Schizosaccharomyces pombe: one gene and its partners. The protein of the gene in region 4 purifies or fractionates together with the protein of the main gene of each other region. This does not show direct contact. Each region holds a gene or a part of one and is shown on either strand. Other genes may lie near its edges.

Region 1 (3,048 bases), 1.8 Mb from region 4:
CGAAGGTTTGATAATGATATTTAGTAAAGTAATTCTAATGTATAGGAATATTTTCTGAGGCGCAAAAAAATGAATGCACATTTCCTGATATACGGTATGCAATTGGTCTATTCATTCAATTCTAATAAGGTGTCTAGGGCAACACTGTTGGAAAAAGTTTGTGAATATTTGCATTACAATTACAGATATAAAAATCAATTAGATATTCCAAAGTTCGATATCCCACCTGAGATGGTTTTAGAATTATTGGTCACTGCGGAATATTTGGAAGGTAAGATTATCATTACTATTTAAAGCTAATGAATACAGCATAATTCTGATTACTCACGAGGAACGAAAGGATTGCTAAATTGCTACAGCATTAAAGAATTGACGGTTTTTGTTTACGATTAACGATTTGATGCCTTAAATAACTATTAAACGCGTTACCTATCGAATGCAAGAAATGAGATGGAAAAAATGTATTATATAACTATGCGGTTTCTAGAAATCTTGTGAGTTACTTTATTTTGGAATTTTCCCCTCTAATAGCATAGCTTCCAGTCGATTTATCTCAGCAATGGAAGAGGCATTTTTAATGGCTTCTTTGATCTTTTCTCTTTCCTCAGGTGTAAGTGTATATCCAGTTGTAATAGGAGAATTCGCTTCTGGGTGGCTTTGTACCAATGCAGCCAAATCAAATACTCGACTTTTCACACCCATAATAGAGGAAGCTATTTCTGTAGGGTTTTGAATTTGACCAAACACTTCTTCAGCACGAAGCCTTTCATTTCTTCTAACCCGTTCGAAATCTAAAATATGTAACGAAGGAATTCTCCATATAAGATATAATCTATAATATTGTTTTTGAGCAACTGGATTGTCAATGCACGACAAATTAGTGAGTTGAGGACAACTAGCCAACGGATCTAAATCTGCTATTTCTTGAAGATGATTTTGTGCTAGGGATAAAGTCTTTAAATTCGGAAGAACTTTACCTATGTCTGGGGCTATAGCAGTTATTCGGTTATTTCCACACAAAAGCGTTTGAAGCCTTTTCATACGAGGGAAATTCCCTAAATATCGAATGTCATTGTCTGTGAAATCAATTGCATCGTGTACGTCCCTTAACACTCCTAAATTTTCAATTATTGGAATCTGATACCCTGTAATTATGAGTTAGCTGGATGACACGTAGCATACAGTAATTTCTTTAAACATATCTTAAATCAAGCTCAGTTTCTTTCAAAGGACTGATGAATGAGGGTACCTGAGACAAAAATTCAGCATTAAGACGCATGAAATTTTTGTAATGAAAATGCCTTTTTTATGCTGTTACTGCAGTATGATTTAAAATTCCTAAAAAATTATCCAAAACGCTCACAATCCTAAATTTCACTATTGTTTATTCAAAAAATGTTATAGTTAACGTTTTAGAATCTAATAATGTAAAGTTAATTATGTAAAAACCAAGAATATGACACGTCAAGAGAAGAAGCAAAGTGGTAGAGTTTGGATAGTAAGCACATAAATAAATACAAAGAAATCTTGACTCAATAAGCAAAAAATACTCACTTTTTCTACTTTTTAGATTTAAAAAAAACAAATTATGCGTAATTATACTTTGATAATTGACTGACGACTTCCATGTTCAAGAATCGGCTTTCGTACTAGAAAATTCTTGGGAAAACAGAGAATAAATGATTTTTGTATATGTGTGTTTTGACACCTTTAAATAAAACATTTTTTCATTGTTGTCAAATATATATCTTAAGTTTGTCAGAAATTGGTACACACTCTTTTATCTGTTGAGCTCTCAAAAACAAACACAAGCAATCGACTATTTGGATGAAACACACATTGTTTTCCACTCAAAGTTTTAGTTCAACTCATCTATAATGTTCATACTGCCTCCCTATTTGACTTCGTGAGCACAAACCGCCAACGAAAGTTTGAAACCAGGTTATTTACAATTATTCAGAGTTGCTTAAGGAACCTGTTTTCCTATTAAAAAATTGCATTGAGATACTTACTAAACTGCTATATCTTTTTGTTTTCTCATTTAATGAAAAACATTCCAAAAACAATATTGACATCAAGTCGTTTTTTAATGTAACAGTTTTAATGAATTCTTCAGATTGTTTCTATCGTATTGCTCTATCTCAATGAAAGCACTGCTAAGAAATTATATTTAAATTGATATGACAGCTTCTAATATCGAATCAACTATCCATCCTCATACTAATACCACATGAGTCGGACTAATTGAAAATGCCAGCGATATCGACAAATGTACATCGACATTTCGGATAATGTTTGGGTTTAGAGTAGCCTCTTTTGTAGTTGAAAGTGGAAGAAATACATGATTAAATGTTGTGCTTCCATAGCTCGTGTACTTATAAATCATACAGTCACTCTTGAGAATATGAAATTAAAAATCACTGCATTTATTCTAACACTTATTCTGTTCCAGTAAGAATTATTCAAACTGAATTTACTACAAAACTACAGATCAATACCCACACATAAAAACCAAAAACAAGTTTTTTCTTTTATTTACAATAGCTTCAACTAAGTATTTTGAAGCTGCTTGTTAGTTAATGCTACAATATGACTGTTTATTTCTATATGCTTAAAAAGAGGATTATATAACATAAGGATGGCCGTGGCTCCACTAACTATTCTTTTGCCGACACCTCCAAATGAAACAAGAATTAATATAAGCAGGAGGAATACCATTCGGCTAGTTATATTAGACTATTTGGGAGCTTTGAAGTCGTTTTTCAAGTTTGCTTACATTCTGATTTATATTAGGTATTATAAGTGAGCCGTCAGCGAAATTTATTAACCGGTGAATGTTTGAAGCGCTACGAGATTAATGGATGACTTAGAATGGCTCGAGAAACTGAATTTAATGACAAAAGTCCCTCTTCCACCGATGATGGTATGAGCCAGTCGCACTTTTCAGATAAACTGAAAAATTTGTTTCACTTTCGTAGGAATCGAGCGGCAACCGTTTCTACTAGTGTCCGAAATGATCAGAGGGATAATGATTCTGATGACTCAACC
Region 2 (7,898 bases), on a different chromosome or scaffold from region 4:
TCATTCATAGCTTGCATTTTTCCCGGTGGTAGCGGGTAATTTCTGATAGGTAATCTGTAGTTTTCTTGAGTTAGTTCAACTTCAAATTCTAACCCTTTTATTGGCTTTGGTAGCTTTTCCGTATTGGTTTCTGCAGTAATGTCTTTGAATTCTTTATAGATATCTGGTAACTCAGGTTCCTTGACAATATTTGAAACTTTGTTCATTTGAGAGAGCGTGTGTTTACTGCTAGATATTTCAATGTTATTGTCATATAATGTTGTGAAGGAGATAGCAGCTGGATGCGAAAATTTCTTTACAACCAAGAATTCTGTTTTGATTGATATTCCATTTAGACTTATGTTAAGTTTTATTGTTTTGCGATTAATCTTATTTGGATAAACTCCACCATATATCACACTTTTTGACCAGGGTCTGGTAGGCAGTTTATGTGCTCGAACAGTTTCTTCTGTTATAATATTTGCTTGAGCGCCCGTATCGATTAGACAGGGTATTGAGCACTTGAAGTCTGGAAGTTCAGCTTGTAATACCATTTCGTAACGTTTCCTAGTATGATTTAGGAATTTGTTAGATGAGTATTCTATTCTCGAAACATTTGTCTTCCTCAGGTTTCTGCTATTAGTGGTGTTATTTTTCTTTGAAAGGGACTCTTTTCCTAGATTTTTATTTTGCAGTTGAAAACGCTTGTGAGTTTTACCATACGAGGCTGTTCTTTTGTCCTCTAAAAAGTCATAAATTTCACTGATTTCTGATTTCCAGTAATTTCTTTCCTTTAATTTCCTTAAGGAATATGGCAGCATCCATAATATAAACAAGCGAGTATGGAAATCATCAACATTTGCTTTTGACATGAGTTTCCTTATAAATTGAACTTTGTCCAATTGATTTCTAAAACCTTCAAATGTTTTAGTTAAACGATCACCTTTGTTGGATCCTTGTACTTTCCCTGTTTGTCTGAGTAATTCTTGCCATGTAAGACTTCCATTCTCAGAAAACATGCGTTCAGCGAATTGTTGCTCTAATTCTTCTAGGTGATTCAATGTATACTGTCTTTTAGTATGCTCATTTGGGAATAATGAAGGGTATTCAGTAAAGTGTTGATCAAGTTTTGAAATGTAACTTTCAACATCCTTATTAGGATCGAATTTCCCTATCTCTGGTACATGCTTCGATAATATTTTTGCAAAAAGGTTTATTAAATGTTCGTCTGATGTTTGAATTCCATCCAAATTCTCTGGTCTCCATCGTTTTGCTCTTGCTTTCATATAACGATAATTTGCGTAGGACATTGTATATGTTTCCCTTTGGGAGATTTCAAAAGGGATAACAGTCCTTCCAAAGTTCTTTCTCCTTTGAACCCAGAAGGAGAGAAATATATATATTTATGATATATATTTATTCAATAATTCCTTTTTCCTAAAAGGAGTTAATTGTAGATCACAAGAGTTCAGTTATTGTAAGCTACGCAGTTTGGTATCTGATTTAAGGATACGTAGAACTGCGGTGAGCTTTCCTTGTGATCTATTATATTACAATACACAGGTTGTATAAGTAGCAACTGAGTATAGGTATTGTATTAACTGGGTTATAATGTTACCTATCACTAATATAGCTCATAACTGAACTGAGGAACGAGGTTCAGCAGTAGCTCTATTTATAGTATTCAGATAATATTGATCTTAATAGATTATCATTAAGATCAATCTCCATATCGTATCATACATGGTACGATATATAATTAGAACATGTGACATATAGTGATACTCAACGTAGTGTATTATAGCGTAGTGTAGTATTGCTGACAGAAATGAACACTTCTAATACCTCGAAGTAGACGAAAATTGAAAATTCAGTTTATCCTCCGCCACTCACAATCATGTCGAGTGCACATCCTAAAGGGGACTCGAAAGAGCCTCCCAAACATGGAAATAGTAAGGAGAAGCCAAACTATGGTCAATCACAGTATAGTTATTCTGCAATGTCAAATTTGGTTACGCAGGCTGATCGAAGATTTGTGTCACGACGTGATGCTGAACCTACAGGCGAACCGGAATCTCTGGTAAATCGAGTTAGTATTGCAGATATGGGTTCTAGAGCGAGAATTGAAAAACCTAGTACCCTTCCTCTCGAATTGACGCAGGAAGTTCAGGAGGTCCGGTTACCTCGTAAAGATGCAGAATCCTTAGAAATTGGTATACGGCAACCTGAACGCGAAAAGCGCTCTTCAGCGATACTTAAATATTTTGATTCTTTTGAAATTTTGAAATATAATCCTCTAACCGACGAGACCCGAGAAGTTTATGATTATATCTTGAGTTTCATTCAACAATACCTTGGCGATCAGTCTCCTGAAATCCTCCGTTCTGCTGCTGATTTGATTATTGAACTTCTTAAGGATAGTTCTTTAGATGAACAAGGTCGTAAAAAGCAAATAGAGGAGGTTTTGAGTACTGAACTCCCACAGGATCGGTTTTCACAGCTCGTTAACTTGGGAAATCGCTTAACAGATTATACAGTTGAGCAAGAAGAAGAGTTAAATGAAGAAGGCGTTAATGAATCTGGCGTACCAGTATTGTTCAATGAAGCCGATGAAGAGGAAGAAGCTGTTGAGGCAATGGAAGAGGATGAAGTGGCAGAAGATGAAGACGTCGTCTTAGAAACTTCCATATCTCAAGAAGAAGAGAAAAAGAATATTGAAAATCCGGATACAGAGGTTACATTTATTTCTGCTGATACCAAAAAAGTTACCGAAATACCCACTGTTCATCCTCGTGAAATCGATGCATTTTGGCTGCAACGAGAAATAGCAAAATATTTTGCTGACGCCGTCGTTTGTCAGGAAAAAACAAATCAAGCGTTTGAGGCACTTTCGGCTGATTACGATCTCGGTGAATTGGAAAATGAATTGATGAGTATTTTTGATTATGAACATTTCTATCTTGTTCAACTTTTGACTAAGAATCGTTGGACAATAGTTTCGTGTACAATGTTAAAACGCGCCGCTACTGATGAAGAACGCTTAGGTGTGGAAGAGCAAATTCGTGCTGCTGGTCGGTCTTGGATTCTCGAAGCTCTACGCCCTGGTGCTATCACTATACCTGATGACGGTTTAAATGAATTAAATAATAATGTTGTTGAGAAAGCTGAACCTGCGCCCGTTTCTGAAATTCCACTTTCGAAAACTTTGACTTCCCATAAAATTGTACCTAAGCACCAAGTTGATCTAGAAAATTATGTGTTTACTGAGGGATCACGTCTCATGTCTAATAAAGCTGTCAAGCTACCTGAAGGCTCGTTTCGTAGGACTGGTAAAGGGTATGAAGAAATACATGTTCCTGCCCCCAACAAAGCCGTACTTGGCGCTGACGAGCGTCTTGTAAAAATCAAGGAACTGCCTGAATGGTCTCATCAAGCTTTTCTTAATACTCAATCTTTAAACCGAATCCAAAGCCATCTTTATCCTATCGCTTTTGGTACTGACGAAAACATCCTTTTATGCGCTCCTACTGGTGCTGGAAAAACAAATGTAGCAATGCTATGTATCCTTAACGAATTACAAAAACATTTACGTGAAGATCTTAGCTTTAACTTACAAAATTTTAAAATTGTTTACATTGCTCCCTTGAAGGCGTTGGTACAAGAGATGGTTAATAATTTCTCAAAGAGGCTTACTCCATACAATATTCGAGTCGCAGAGTTAACTGGTGATAGTCAATTGACTAAACAACAAATTAGTGAAACTCAAATAATTGTAACCACACCCGAGAAGTGGGATATTATAACTCGAAAAGCTAATGATTTATCTTATGTCAATCTAGTCCGTTTAGTTATTATTGATGAGGTTCATTTGCTTCATGATGAACGAGGTCCTGTATTAGAATCTATAGTTGCTCGTATATTTCGCCATCAGGAGGAAACTCTTGAACAAGTTCGATTAGTAGGTTTGTCTGCTACACTTCCTAATTATACCGATGTTGCCAGTTTTTTACATGTCGACCCTAAAAAAGGGCTTTTTTACTTCGATTCGACATATCGTCCATGCCCTTTAAAGCAAGAATTTATAGGCATTACAGAAAAAACACCGTTTAAACGAATGCAGACGACTAATGAAGCTTGTTATGAAAAAGTTATGCAACACGCTGGCAAAAACCAGGTCCTCATATTTGTACATTCGCGCAAAGAAACCGCTAAAACCGCTCGTTTTATAAGAGATAAGGCACTAGAGGAAGAGACCATCGGTCATTTGTTACGCTCTGATGCCGCATCCCGTGAAATTCTTCGGGCTGAAGCCGACTCTACCAGTGATGAAAATTTGAAAGATTTGCTCCCATATGGGTTTGCCATACATCATGCTGGTATGCGACGAGAGGATCGCCAAACGTCTGAAGACCTTTTTGCCGATGGTACTATACAGGTACTAGTGAGTACGGCAACTCTGGCTTGGGGCGTAAACTTACCAGCGCACACAGTGATCATCAAAGGGACCCAAGTTTATTCTCCTGAAAAGGGTATCTGGACAGAACTCTCTCCTCAGGATGTTTTGCAAATGCTTGGCAGAGCTGGTCGCCCACAATTCGACACATATGGTGAAGGAATTATCATTACCGCCCACTCTGAGTTACAGTATTATCTATCACTAATGAATCAGCAGCTTCCAATTGAGTCTCAATTTATGCGCCGTCTAGCTGATTGTTTAAATGCCGAAGTATCGTTAGGAACTGTTCGTAGTATCGAAGATGGCGTAGACTGGCTTGGTTATACATACCTCTATGTTCGAATGTTACGATCCCCTGCCCTATATAGCGTCGGCCCAGAGTATGATGATGACAAATATCTTGTTCAAAAAAGAGCTGACTTACTTCATTCAGCTGCCATTTTATTAGAAAAATGCAAGTTACTAGTGTATAATCGTCAGAGTGGTACGTTGACCGCTACGGAATTGGGAAAAGTTGCTGCAAGTTATTACGTTACTCATAACTCGATGGCCATATATAATCGTCTTTTAATGCAGACAACATCCTTTATCGAGTTATTTCGAGTCTTCAGTTTTTCTGATGAATTTAAGCACATTCCTGTCCGTGAAGAAGAGAAAGTTGAACTCGCGAAGTTGCTGGAAAGAGTACCAATTCCTATTAGGGAAAGATTAGATGAACCTGCTGCCAAGATTAATGCCCTTCTCCAATCATATATATCAAGACAACGCCTGGATGGATTTGCACTTGTGGCAGACATGGTATACGTTACGCAATCAGCGGGTAGAATTATGCGTGCAATATTCGAGATATCATTGAGACGTGGTTGGTCATCTGTTGCAACACTCTCTCTTGATACATGCAAAATGATTGAGAAAAGGCTTTGGCCAACTATGAGCCCCCTTCGACAGTTTCCCAATTGTCCTTCTGAAGTAATACGCCGCGTTGAGAAAAAGGAATTTCCTTGGCAGCGATACTTTGATCTGGACCCTGCTGAATTAGGAGAATTAGTAGGGGTGCCAAAAGAAGGGAGGCGTGTGTACAACATGGTTCAGTCTTTTCCAAGGTTGAGCGTCGAAGCACATGTTCAACCTATCACAAGATCGCTTGTGCGGGTCGAACTTGTTATAAATTCTCAGTTCAACTGGGATGATCATTTAAGCGGCACTTCTGAAGCTTTTTGGATCCTTGTAGAAGACGTGGACGGGGACCGATTGCTACATTATGAACAATTTTTCCTTCTTAAAAAATACAAAGATGATGAGCATATTGTAAATTTTACAGTACCTTTGTTAGAACCTCTTCCTCCTTGTTACTTTATAAAGATAGTTTCAGATCGATGGTTACACTCGATAACTAAGGTACCTCTTTCATTTCAGCGCCTGATAATGCCAGAAAAATTTCCTGCGCCAACACCTCTTCTTGATCTTCAGAACGCCCCGGTCTCTAGTCTTAATAACCCAAGCTTCATTTCCCTCTACCCTAATTTTAAATTTTTTAACAAGATTCAAACACAGGTGTTTAACTCTGTTTATAAAACCAACGATAGTGTTTTTATTGGTGCTCCCAATGGAAGTGGAAAGACTGTTTGTGCCGAACTTGCTTTGTTACATCATTGGAGTCAAGAAGATTATGGTACTGCAGTTTACATTGCCCCAATTCAGGAAATCGTTGATCGTCGATATGAAGAATGGTATGGCAAGTTTTCTGACCTCGGTGATGGGAAAGTTTTGGTAAAATTGACGGGTGAGCGTTCACAAGACTTGAAGCTGATACAAGTTGCTGACTTGATATTTTGCACGCCATCGCAATGGGACTCATTGTCGAAGAGATGGAGAAGTATGCGAAGCATTCAGAAAGTTGATTTTTATATATGTGATGAATTACAATTGCTTGGTGGATTTTATGGTCCATTATACGAAATAGTGATCTCACGGATACGGTACATGGCAGTACAATTAGAAAAAAATATCCGAGTGGTTGGCCTTTCAGTATCTGTTGCTAATGCTCGAGATTTGGGTGAGTGGCTTGGGACTAGTCCACAATGCATATTTAATTTTAGTCCTAAAGACAGGCCTAATCCTCTTACTATTCATTTGCAATCATTCAGTATTACTCATTTCCCTTCCCTTATGTTGGCTATGAGCAAGCCTATATATCGCAGCTTGAAGAACTTTATTTCTCAGAGAAAGTCTACTATTGTATTTACTCCTGACAGGAAAGTAGCGAAACAATTAGCTTTTGATTTAGTTACATTCAGTATGGCTGATGAAGATGAGTATTTGTTTTCGTTAATGGAGAATGAAGCTTTCAATAAAGTTGAAGATGCTGCCTTGCAGCAATCATTGAAGCATGGTATTGCTTATATTAGTGAAATCACATCGTCCAATGATCAGAATATTGTACAATATCTTTACCGTCATGGACTTATCAAGGTTTTGATAGCTTCTCGCGATGTTATTTATTCCTTAAAAGCAAAATCAAACGCTGTTATTGTGATGGGTACTCAATACTATGATGGCAAAGAACATCGTTATATTGATTATCCTATAAGTGAGTTATTACAAATGCTCGGGTTTACTGCTAGCATTGGATCAAGTGAGCTTAGCCAGGTTATTCTTATGACTGTCACTACTAAGAAGGAATATTACAAGAAATTTTTAAATGAGCCATTACCCATGGAAAGCCATCTTCAAGTTTGGCTGCACGATGCTTTCGTGTCAGAAATATCTACGCAAACCATTGAAAGCAAACAAGATGCTGTAGATTGGCTTACATGGTCGTATATGTACCGGAGACTAGTTGCCAATCCTGCCTATTATGGTCTTCAAGATATCACTCATGAGTCGGTTTCTGAATTCCTTTCGGATCTTGTAGAAACAACCATGAATGATTTGAGTGAGGCACGCTTAATCACTGTAGACGATGAGGATGATAGTTGTGTCGCATTAAATTTAGCAATGATAGCTTCTCATTACGGAATTACATACATTACTATGCAAACGTTTGCTTTGAGCTTGTCAGAGCGCACGAAGATGAAGGGATTACTAGAAATTGTTACATCAGCAGCAGAATATGAGCAACTCCCAATTCGAAAGTATGAAGATATTGTGCTGGAGCGAATTCATTCCCGCCTGCCTGTTCGCTTAAGTAATCCTAACTATGAAGATCCTCATACGAAATCATTTATTCTTCTTGCAGCTCATTTTTCTAGATTTGAATTGCCTCCTGGTTTAGTTATAGATCAGAAATTCATTTTGACTAGGGTACATAATCTTCTGGGCGCTTGTGTTGATACATTGTCTTCCGAAGGCCATTTAATAGCTTGTATTAGACCAATGGAGATGTCGCAAATGGTTACGCAAGCTTTATGGGATCGTGATAGTCCTTTAAAACAGATACCCTATTTCGACGACGCTTTAATCG
Region 3 (5,545 bases), 1.7 Mb from region 4:
ATTGGTCTTTGCGAGGAACCTTGGGATCGATGCGATGTAGTTGCCAGAGGTCAATTTGCTTAACTCCAAGTCGACGCATGCTCATAAGTACTTCTTGACGTAAAAATTTGGGTGCTCCACAAGGATGCCATTCATTTGGACCTGTACGAACAAGGCCACCCTTGGTAGCAATTATAAGTCCTTTGTAAGGGTATAAAGCTTCTCGTAAAAGATTCTCGCTGACCTCAGGGCCGTAAGAATCGGCGGTATCAATAAAGTTAATATTGAGTTCAGGCAAACGTTTTAAAGTTGCGATGCAAGCCTCTTTGTCTTTGGGTTCATCCCATATACCATCACCGGTAACTCTCATTGCTCCGAATCCCATTCTATTGACAACCATGTCGCCAACCTTGACAGTCCCAGCTTGTGAAGCATCTACGGCGGAAGAAGCTGCAGTTTTACTCATTTTTGTGTCTTTTGTCGCTTTTCTTAGAAATCAAGATCAAGTACTATAGTGGATCCGGTAAGTGTGGGATGTCAGACGCCGTTTCCTTTTATAGTAATTTTACATGGTGTATTCCTTACATAAGCTGGATTGATGCGGACTATCTTAAACCACGAAAACTGATTTATTACATACCCTATTTACAGAATCCAGTGGTATGATGTAAGAGCGCGTTAGACAATATATTGTCATAACGATGACTAATACTATTATAGTACGATATTGCTGGTTGGATTTTGAATTAGAGTAAATAGCTAAGTCCTTTTTGATTTGGCTCTTATTCAATTTAATGATAATTTTATGGTTCCAAAATCTGATGCTGGATGAATTGTCTAAACTGTATCTCTGTCTTCTTTTGCCAGCCCATTTTTATTCATGAGCAACGATGGTCGCACATAACGATAATGATCTTTATTGCTATGTTTCTTTCTATTCAAGATAATGTGGATTTATATTTTCCATCTTCTTGAATTATGCTTGATCGTGCTATCAAATCGTACTACGAGTTATCATTTGGAGACCACAAATGGGTTGACCAGTTCCGTAAATCGAGGTAAACATTGCACATAATAACAATTCTAGGACTGTATTTGAAAGGAAACACATTTTTTGAATTTAGTTGATGATGCCAGTATATTATTAGTGTTATTGACATTCAGCAATTTGTTGTGTGTTTTATAAACACACTAAATACTTTGTACAGTTGCAAAACTTGCGCTCTAAAAATGTTTGCACCGCACTTTTACAATGGCTATTTACTCTTACTATTGTCTTCGAAAAGCTTATAAATTTGGCTGCTAAACATGGGTCGGTAGCTCAAATCGTAGACATAACCAGTCTTTTAAGGTCTCAATTACACCCATGTACGACTTTTAAGGAGGAAGTTGGTAAATAAAAAAGTATATTTGGTTTTCAATAATTACGATTCATTCCTTTCTATCAAAATGAGACGATGTCGTTCTTCGGCAACCTTAAAGAGTGTAGTGGAAGTTACTGAGCCGATCATATCTCGTTTAGAGAGTATAAAGACAATGATTTCTCTAGCTCATTATCAAAGCTTAACGAGATATAAATCGCAGTTGAGACATGAATGCGCTAAAGCTCGAAAACTTGGTTACACTTTACTTCAAATTTGGTAATTACCAAAAGTTGTGCATTGTGGGTACTTGGCAGTAACTGATGATGGAAGAGGATTTATATGATGAGTAAGTGGTCTAAAAACATTTTATAGTTATTTCTAACTCGCCAGGTTTGGAAATTACATAGGCCCTGAAAATGAAGAAGATGAAGAGGAGCTGTTTCCTCAGGCTCCTAGCCCTACAATTGCACAGGTACCATCCTTTGAAGAGGTCATTCCTGATGAAGAATTAGAAGACGTTGAAAGGGCCGAGGAAATGGCGTTGAGTCATCTAGAGCCTCAGAATGCCGTTGTTCTTCACGAGGATAAACAATATTATCCTAGCGCTGAAGAGGTATATGGGTCCAACGTGGATATCATGGTTCAGGAACAGGATACTCAACCCTTAAGCCAGCCCATTATTGAGCCAATTCGTCACAAAAGGATTGCTATAGAAACAACAAACGTCCCAGATACTGTATACAAGAAAGAGTAAGTATGTGTAACAATGTCTTTTCTAACTTTTTAAGGTTCCTCTTCGGTCTCTTAACTGGGACAGATGACGTTAGATCTTTTATTGTTGCTGGCCATCTGCATCACGGCAAAAGCGCTTTATTAGATTTACTCGTTTATTATACCCATCCTGACACCAAGCCGCCAAAAAGGCGTTCACTTCGATATACCGACACTCATTATCTTGAAAGAGAACGTGTGATGTCTATAAAAAGTACTCCACTTACGCTCGCAGTTTCTGATATGAAGGGTAAGACGTTTGCATTTCAGTGCATCGATACGCCTGGTCATGTCGATTTTGTTGATGAAGTCGCTGCTCCTATGGCCATAAGTGATGGTGTTGTATTAGTCGTTGATGTTATTGAAGGTGTAAGTTATTCTGGCCTTTTCTTGCGTTTTGAAGATATAAAGATTCTAACATGCTTTAGGTGATGATTAACACCACTAGAATTATCAAACATGCGATTCTTCACGATATGCCAATTGTGCTCGTCTTGAACAAAGTTGATAGGTTAATCCTTGAGCTACGTCTCCCTCCGAATGATGCTTACCATAAACTTCGACACGTTATCGACGAAGTAAACGATAACATTTGCCAGATTAGTAAAGATTTGAAATATCGCGTTTCTCCTGAGTTAGGGAACGTTTGTTTTGCTTCATGTGATCTTGGATATTGTTTTACATTGTCTAGTTTCGCAAAACTCTATATAGATAGACATGGAGGTATCGACGTGGACTTATTTTCTAAAAGATTGTGGGGGGATATTTATTTCGATTCGAAAACCAGAAAATTTGCCAAACAGTCCTTGGATGGCTCTGGCGTTAGAAGCTTTGTCCATTTCATATTAGAACCGTTGTATAAATTACATACCCTTACTATTTCTGACGAAGCCGAAAAACTCAAAAAACACTTATCTTCTTTCCAAATTTATTTAAAACCCAAGGATTATTTATTAGATCCTAAACCACTCTTGCAACTAATTTGCGCATCGTTTTTTGGATTCCCCGTTGGTTTTGTGAATGCAGTTACTAGACATATTCCATCGCCTCGAGAAAATGCCGCTCGTAAAGCCTCTCAATCATATATTGGGCCTATAAACTCTAGTATCGGCAAGGCTATCTTAGAAATGAGTCGTGAGGAATCAGCACCATTAGTCATGCATGTTACTAAACTTTACAACACCGTCGATGCTAATAATTTTTATGCATTTGCTCGTGTATATAGTGGTCAGGTTAAAAAGGGTCAGAAAGTTAAAGTTCTTGGAGAAAATTATTCTTTAGAAGACGAAGAGGATATGGTGGTTGCTCATATTGCTGAAATATGTGTACCTTGCGCACGATATCGTCTTCACGTTGATGGAGCTGTTGCCGGCATGCTAGTTCTTTTAGGAGGTGTTGATAACTCTATTAGCAAAACAGCAACCATCGTTTCGGACAATTTGAAAGATGATCCTTACATTTTCAGGCCAATTGCTCACATGTCCGAGAGTGTTTTCAAGGTGGCTGTAGAGCCACACAATCCATCAGAATTACCAAAACTACTTGATGGCCTACGAAAAACAAACAAAAGCTACCCACTATCTATCACAAAAGTAGAAGAATCTGGGGAACATACTATTTTCGGTACTGGTGAGATGTATATGGATTGTCTACTTTATGATCTTCGGACTTTATACTCTGAAATCGAAATCAGAGTTTCCGATCCAGTTGCTCGTTTCTGTGAGACTGCGGTGGACACATCAAGTATCAAGTGTTTTTCAGATACTCCAAATAAAAAAAATCGTATCACAATGGTAGTTGAGCCATTGGAGAAAGGAATTTCTAATGACATTGAAAATGGAAAAGTTAATATCAATTGGCCTCAAAAAAGAATCAGCGAATTTTTCCAAAAGAACTACGATTGGGACTTACTAGCTTCACGTTCCATCTGGGCTTTTGGTCCCGATGATCGTGGTACGAATATATTGCGGGATGATACTCTTAGTACAGATGTTGATAAAAACGTGCTTAATAGCGTAAAAGAATACATTAAACAAGGTTTTCAATGGGGGACTAGGGAAGGTCCTCTATGTGATGAGACAATCCGAAACGTGAATTTTCGCCTGATGGATGTAGTGCTTGCACCTGAACAAATTTATCGAGGAGGTGGTCAAATTATTCCAACCGCAAGGAGAGTGTGTTATTCTTCTTTTTTAACAGCGTCTCCACGGCTAATGGAACCAGTGTATATGGTTGAAGTACATGCCCCCGCTGACAGTCTTCCTATTATTTATGATTTATTAACGCGTCGTCGTGGTCATGTCCTCCAAGATATCCCTCGGCCAGGTTCCCCATTATATTTGGTGAGAGCACTTATTCCAGTCATTGATTCTTGTGGATTTGAAACAGATTTACGAGTGCATACTCAGGGTCAAGCTATGTGTCAAATGGTATTTGATCATTGGCAGGTAGTACCTGGTGATCCACTGGATAAGTCTATCAAGCCCAAGCCATTAGAACCCGCACGTGGCTCTGATTTGGCGAGAGACTTTCTGATTAAGACAAGACGTAGAAAAGGTCTGGTGGAAGATGTTTCTACAACTCGCTATTTCGATCAAGAAATGATTGATTCTTTGAAAGAAGCAGGTGTCGTACTCTCTTTGTAATGTCGGTTTTAAGTCTTTATAATGGATTTTGCAAAAAAAAATAAATTGGGTAGATTTTAATAATAAAGTATACGATTATTTATGAAAGTTCGAGAAGTCTAACAACTTTTTTTTGCTTTCAAATCTCGCGTTTACAGTGTATGAAATCCGAAAAATCAGCGCATATCTTGAAGCCGTAAATTATTTGTGAAATCCTTGATCAGAAGGAAAAGTCGCATTTTGGTTTTACGATTTTAGTATATAGATAAATAACTTCTATTATTTATTTTTTTATGTTAAGAAACTAACACTCAACTGAAATAACGTAATTTCATAGTACTATAAACACCCGAGGTCATATGTCATGAAGTTACCCTCTCAGTATACCGGAAGACTTTAGGGACATATACAACTTCCGGAAGTGCTCTGCTTTTGGAAGTAAAATACAGCGAGTTTAGTTAGATTAGTTTATTATTATCCTTAAAACTGAAGATGGGTTTGAGACTTTTGTTTTCTCTCATTTGCGTATTTTGCATATCGAACATTTTTACGCAAGCCTTCTTGGTGCATCAAATATATGGTAATTCCAGCTTCACAAAAATATCTTTAAATCAACTTGAGGGCAGAGATTCTCAAGAGGAACTACAAAGGCGTCAGGAAATCCGATATTATGGTCGTGCCGCTGAAACTGGAGGAACTCCTACTTACTACGGGTATGCGACACCCACTAGCTCTAGTGAACCCAGTATCTTTTCTGAATCTGCTACTCCCTCAGAAACTAATTCTTACTCGTCTCCGGTCAGCTCT
Region 4 (5,910 bases):
GAGAAATTAAGACATTATTGACCGCGTCGACTATACACTTAGTTTTGTAATGAGGTGGATGGCGCACCTGTGTATTTTCAAGCAAAGGAATCAAAACTTGCAAATATGCATACCGAAGATCCGAAAGCTCATCGGGAATATTGTTTATTTCGCGTATGAATATATCAATTAGGACATTGAGATCATTGGTATAGAATATCTCATACGTAGCGGGAGTTGTAAAAAGAAGGAATAGTTGTTTTAGTATTAACATTCGAGAGCGTGGATCCTTTTCTCGATTTAGAGTGAAAACTAGGCCTTCACTGTAGATACCGTTATCCACTTTGGAAGAGCTCAGCAAATCCATTATGCCATTTGCGATTTCAAACGAACCTTTGGAAGCAAGCCGAACAAGCATAAACTGTTCATTGATGCTAAGCAATGTCAAGACGCACATTCCAAAACTGTCCATGTCCTCATCATTCCAAGCTTCTTCCGACGTTTTGAATAGGTTTACTAAAAAATATTCATCAATTGCGACTAAGTCGGTCGGTGAAAGTCGTCTCGAGCGACAAATATAGTACACTAAGAATAAAGCATAACGAAAAGATGTAAAAGCAACATTTTCTGAACGATCCTTGAACTGTTTCATTGCCTTGATCAAGACGGGAATGAACCCCGTAGAAGCCAACAAACGCAAGCAGTACTCATTCTCTTGAATTTCGGATTGAAAGACAATGATTATGAATTTCAAAGTTTGTTGTTCTTTCAAGAAAAAAAAGCAATCATAGAAAATACTTAAAACGGCGTTTTCGTCTAGTTGATAAAGCGGACTATTGAGGAACTTTTCCATACATCTCTGCAATTGGAATTCTGTAATTAGGTACGGTTCTATTGAATTTATTTTGTTAGATAAGATGTTCTATAAAGAGACAAACACTCAATTTCTTTGTATTTCATCCATAGGAAAAACACGGAAAATTGTGCTTCCCCAATTCTCCAAAACATTACCTCCATATTTGTTGATAAAAGAAAGAAACTTTGAAACACCAATTTCCAGTTCATTTTTTTCGTATGGTATAGTTAAAAGTTCGTCAATTTCTGTCACCAAATGTTAGCGTCAACGGGAATACTATTTAGCCAGGATAATGAATCCCAGGCACATTCAAGTTTACAATTATGAATAAATTGCATACCCGCCAAAAATTGCTTTTCATTCTCTAAATTATAAAACACATCCGTGAACTCCATGTGGAGGTTAGGGAAGGTTTAATTGCCGCTTTCTCATTATCGAGCCTAGTATTCAATAGACAAAATTCTCGCTAATATCCATCGATAATCAACTTTAATATATGATTAGTAGTCAACACAACAGAGCGTCAATGTTATACCATGAAAACAGTATTGTAGTATTATAGTATACAAATGCATCTGGTTCCCTTTTGGCCATATGTTAAGGTATAAAATATAGTGGAGACACAAATTCAAAAATTCTCAATTATCCTCAATTGAAGAGGCTATAATTTAATTAACGGAGAAAAAACTTAGTTTCTATAGTTAAGAATATCTTGCAACAGTTTCAATCGCGGCAGTCTATTTTACAAGGAATTTACACTGGATTCTCACAAATCCAACTTGCCCATAAGTACACTACCACCAAATAAGTAAAAGGATAAAAACTACCCATCACTAGATTTCATTTTATCGGTTTCTTTATATTTAATCTCTTTAAAGCAAGCATTCCTTATTCTGTGTTGGTTTATTGAAGAAAAGTCGTAGTTTGCTTAAAAAATATTCTGTTATCATGCCTCGTCTTCGAACGTCAAGAACCAAGCGGTATGTATACCAAGTATTTTCCTTGTTACCTTTATTTTTACCTACGAAGTAAGATTCTAATTAGCTATAGCCCTCCTGACGGATTTGATGAAATAGAACCCACCCTTATTGAATTCCAAGATCGTATGCGTCAAATTGAGAATACAATGGGAAAGGGAACTAAGACGGAAATGCTAGCACCGATTTTTCAACTTCATCATCAGCGCAGTCGTTATATATACGATTTATACTACAAACGGGAAGCCATATCTACCGAACTTTACAACTGGCTGCTAAAACAAAATTATGCCGATGGAAATTTAATCGCCAAATGGAAAAAACCAGGATACGAGAAACTTTGTTGTCTGCGCTGTATTCAAACCGCTGAGTCAAAATTTGGTTCAACGTGTATATGTCGTGTACCTAAATCAAAACTTGATAAAGATCAACGTGTGAGATGTACTCATTGTGGTAAGTAAAGAAGTGCTATTGCTACCAGTTGCTAATGAAAATAGGTTGTAATGGTTGTGCAAGCTGTGATTAATTGGAAAACTAGTGGTTCGTTTCCCATTTATATCTTTTTATTTGGTTATTATGGCAAATGAAACAGTTTTGGGTTATAAAATTCATTGATCTATGGCTTTTCCTCGTTTTAGTAAAAAATTATTTTATTCATAAAATGCGCTTCCAAAAAACATGTACCTTGGTTGAATTCTTTCAATTAGTACCTTGCTCACATTCTTCATGAGGAAACCTCATTTGTGGATACCCTGGATTGTAGCCAGTTGTTGGAATTGATTTGCTGTGCGAATGAGCCGATGACTTTTTGAAATTGGTCCATCATTTGTTGCTGAGTCATTTCTGGTTTGACGTTGCTACGCCATTGTCTCATTATATCACGTACAATTGCCATACCTTCTTTTTTAGATTTCACTTCTTGAGTATCCCCTTGGGCTCCAGAGTCTTCAGCTTCTAATTCTGCGGCTTTGTTGCTTGCCATTTCAATAATCTTGGGAGGGAAGTGCGCAAGTTTAGCAACATGGATTCCAAAACTCCGATCACTAGCTCCTTCACAAACATTATAGAGTAAAGCTACATCCTTCGATTCTGAATCACCTACATAGGCTGTAACATGCAAATTTTTGACAGTAGTGATTTCTTCTGATAGTTTGGTCATTTCATGATAATGTGTTGCGAAAAGGCAAAAGCAACCGATTTGAGTCACGATGTGTTCTGTAATAGCCCACGCTAATCCAAAACCATCGGTTGTGCTAGTCCCTCGTCCTAATTCATCAATGATGATTAAGGATCGCGGTGTGGCAGCTCTCAAAATCGTAGCGGTCTCCAACATTTCGGCCATGAAAGTAGAAATGCCTTTAAGCTGTGAGTCGCTGGCTCCGACACGTGCAAGGATAGCATCAATAATATCTAGATCAGCCACTTCACAAGGCACTGGACAACCAATCTGTGCCATGACGGTAATAACTCCAACTTGACGGATATACGTTGATTTTCCACCCATATTTGGTCCGGTTATGATTAATAGCTCTGAACTTCCATGCTCAAGATTAACATCATTGGGTATGAACTTCACATCGTCCTGAGCTTCCAAACAAGGATGTCGCGCTTGTTTTAGGTAGAGACGAGCACAATGATTATTTTCTAGAGTTCTTCGTATTTCTTCAAAATTAGGAGTATCTTCTAATGAAACAATGTCCAAAATATTGCTACTTTGTCCATGCTTTTCTTGTGCAATGCTTGAATCCACAATATTTGGTCTTACATAAGGTATTACAGCTACCGTACTTGCATGTGCGAAACTTAGAATCACGTCCAAATGAGCAATTACTTGGCCAATCGCCTCCAAAGGAGGACCGTATGTTGCAGCTATCTTTATAACTTCACGTGCAAGCCCATTTTGGTGGTACCGGTAGCTTTTTTGGTGATCCATATAAGAATTGTTTAGTGAATGAAGACGTTTAGTGGTAAAGTAGACTCCATTTTTTTGAGTTGATAATTCTGTATAATGAGAACTACGGCCTCTTAAACAGCCAGCTTCTGTTCTAGTAAGGCGTAGACACCATCCATAGAGGTGATGTTGCTCAAGATGTAATTTTTTCTCGGTATCTTGGTGGAGATCTGAACCGACCCTTTTATGTTCTTCAAAGATAGAATGCTGTAATTCGTCTAATCGTTGACGCAAATCTAATAGCTCCTCATCAAACTCTGCACGGATAATATACTGATGTGAATCCAATGCTTCCAAGTCGATGGTGGTTTCAACAAGCTCTATTAATTTTTCCAAGTTTTTGCAATGATTGTTAAGGACGTTCGTGTATACTTTATCCACCAAATCTTTATGTTCACTAGTCAAAGAGTCAAGTACCGTAACGATCTTCGGAAGTGCCTTTGCCATTTGATAAATACGTACAACATCTTCTAGACTAGCTGATCCACGAGTTAAACGCCTGCATAGTTTAGGAATATCTGGAATTGAACGAAGAAGATGATCATCATCAAGCAATAACTGGCGTGCCTCAGCATCTTCCACAAGTGCGGAGACCAAGTCATGTCTTCGTTCAATTGATTTTGCATCCAAAAGTGGCTGAACAATCCATCTTCTTAAATTCCTTGCTCCCATCGCAGTTCTACAATGATTAAGTAAACCATAAAGACTCATTGTTTTATGAGCATTACCATTGGGAGGAGGAAGTAGGTTAAGAGAACGAACTGCTGCAATATCTAATCGCATGTATTGTTCCAAGTTGTGATGATACAGATGGAGCTTTCGAGATGTGTTTTCACGGTCGTCTTCCATGTCAGGGTTTAGTAACGCAGGTCCTAAATAGCGAAGCAATGCATTGCAGGATGCCATTGCTAATTGTAGACCTAGTTCTGGAACAAGAGCATGTGTAACTGGACTGTCGAGCACTTTTGAGAGCTCAAGTTCAACATCTCGAGCCGAAAATTCAGAGCTTCTTATAGTTGTAACTAATGCGCCACAACCTTCAATAATATTTCGAAGACGATTGATTTCTGCCGTGTTAATAGAAACGGCTGAATTGCCATTCGTCGATTCATGCCCAGATTGCGATATTATGCACTCTTTCGCTCCAACTTGCACTATGAGAGCTTCAAAGTTCGTATAAGCATCTGAGTCAACAAATTCTGAAACACCTAATTTTTTTAAAATTGGATCTATAAAAGCAACGCCAATTATTCGCTGATCTTGTTTAACCCTAGTAGTAACAGCCAACAAAACCGAACTAACTGAGCTATCACTAATGGCTGTGGATTCTTGATAATTCTCACTAACAAGCAAATCTTCCAGCATTTGCATATTTCCAGGACTAGCTTGCTTCAACAATTCAAATCCTGTCTTTGCGGAATTGGCTCCCCAAATTTCAACTCTCTTTGCAAGGTTGCTTAAAACATCTTCCGCAAACTTAATAAATAGTGAAGGAGATAAGTTACAATAAGATGTATTAGACACATTGTGGTGTTTTAGCACCGAAGTAGTGTGATACGCGTTTTGAGCAACAAACGAAGCGTCTTCTCCTATTGCAACGTAAAATTCCTAGAAAACAGTGTTAGATTGGATTAAAAAATAATAATATTTCAAGTTATTTTTTACGAAGTTTAAGTAAATTTTTCTATTCATCAATACTTACCCCTCGATCAAATACACGCACTGTGTTTGTATCTTTAGGCATTTTTTCATAAAAATTAAACATCCTTGCCTCATCAGTTCTTTCTGTTTTAAAATATTAGTTCAAAGAAGTAACCCCTTGACAAACCATTAGCAATTGAAGCGTTTCTAGAAGACATATTGATTGAATGTTCTAAAGCGCGAACGCGAAATGTATAAAACAGGAGAAGAAACTCCTTGCCACAGTTAAGTCCTCAAAAAGGATAAATAAAAAACCTCAAAAAAAGGAATAGATTTAAAGAATGTTAAATAACGAAGGACCGACGTCGAAAGTAACACAGTGGGAGATTGGTAGCTGCCAAAGTTATATGACACAGAACTAGTCAAACATACTAAAAAATTCATCTAAGCTAATAAATTGAATCTTAAAAATTAATCTATTTAATTAAATGCCTTGTTGTTTAAGT

The links.
Region 1: the proteins of cwf14 (region 4) and lea1 purify together in Schizosaccharomyces pombe (affinity purification with mass spectrometry; 2 studies listed by BioGRID, with this or other methods). This does not show direct contact.
Region 2: the proteins of cwf14 (region 4) and brr2 purify together in Schizosaccharomyces pombe (affinity purification with mass spectrometry; 2 studies listed by BioGRID). This does not show direct contact.
Region 3: the proteins of cwf14 (region 4) and cwf10 purify together in Schizosaccharomyces pombe (affinity purification with mass spectrometry; 3 studies listed by BioGRID, with this or other methods). This does not show direct contact.

What each region holds. Positions count from the first base shown.
Region 1 is NC_003423.3:4,144,785-4,147,832, forward strand, and holds lea1 (U2 snRNP-associated protein Lea1), read right to left. Parts: upstream 1,487-3,048; 5' UTR 1,280-1,486; coding exon 1,199-1,279; intron 1,138-1,198; coding exon 505-1,137; 3' UTR 501-504; downstream 1-500. Other genes in the region: elc1 (elongin C), read left to right, coding at 1-5, 46-94, 138-271, 310-314; serine/threonine protein kinase Ppk22, read left to right, coding at 2,872-3,048.
Region 2 is NC_003424.3:1,459,238-1,467,135, reverse strand, and holds the start of brr2 (U5 snRNP complex subunit Brr2), read left to right. Parts: upstream 1-1,856; 5' UTR 1,857-1,876; coding exon 1,877-7,898. Other genes in the region: Tf2-1 (retrotransposable element/transposon Tf2-type), read right to left, coding at 1-1,289. UniProt on the Schizosaccharomyces pombe protein: Involved in pre-mRNA splicing. May be involved in endoplasmic reticulum-associated protein degradation (ERAD) and required for growth at low and high temperatures. Required for pre-spliceosome formation, which is the first step of pre-mRNA splicing.
Region 3 is NC_003423.3:4,050,938-4,056,482, forward strand, and holds cwf10 (GTPase Cwf10), read left to right. Parts: upstream 1-1,618; 5' UTR 1,619-1,663; coding exon 1,664-1,689; exon of another isoform or gene 1,690-1,733; coding exon 1,734-2,093; intron 2,094-2,131; coding exon 2,132-2,483; exon of another isoform or gene 2,484-2,542; coding exon 2,543-4,759; 3' UTR 4,760-5,042; downstream 5,043-5,545. Other genes in the region: SPOM_SPBC215.11C (aldo/keto reductase family protein), read right to left, coding at 1-445; protein Mtl3, read left to right, coding at 5,231-5,545. UniProt on the Schizosaccharomyces pombe protein: Component of the U5 snRNP complex required for pre-mRNA splicing. Binds GTP.
Region 4 is NC_003423.3:2,341,921-2,347,830, forward strand, and holds cwf14 (G10 protein), read left to right. Parts: upstream 1-1,620; 5' UTR 1,621-1,783; coding exon 1,784-1,815; exon of another isoform or gene 1,816-1,885; coding exon 1,886-2,265; exon of another isoform or gene 2,266-2,309; coding exon 2,310-2,338; 3' UTR 2,339-2,536; coding exon of another isoform or gene 2,537-5,371; 3' UTR 5,372-5,380; downstream 5,381-5,910. Other genes in the region: endocytosis protein Dip1, read right to left, coding at 1-870, 991-1,080, 1,176-1,230; msh2 (DNA mismatch repair protein), read right to left, coding at 2,537-5,371, 5,466-5,548, 5,592-5,622. UniProt on the Schizosaccharomyces pombe protein: Involved in mRNA splicing where it associates with cdc5 and the other cwf proteins as part of the spliceosome.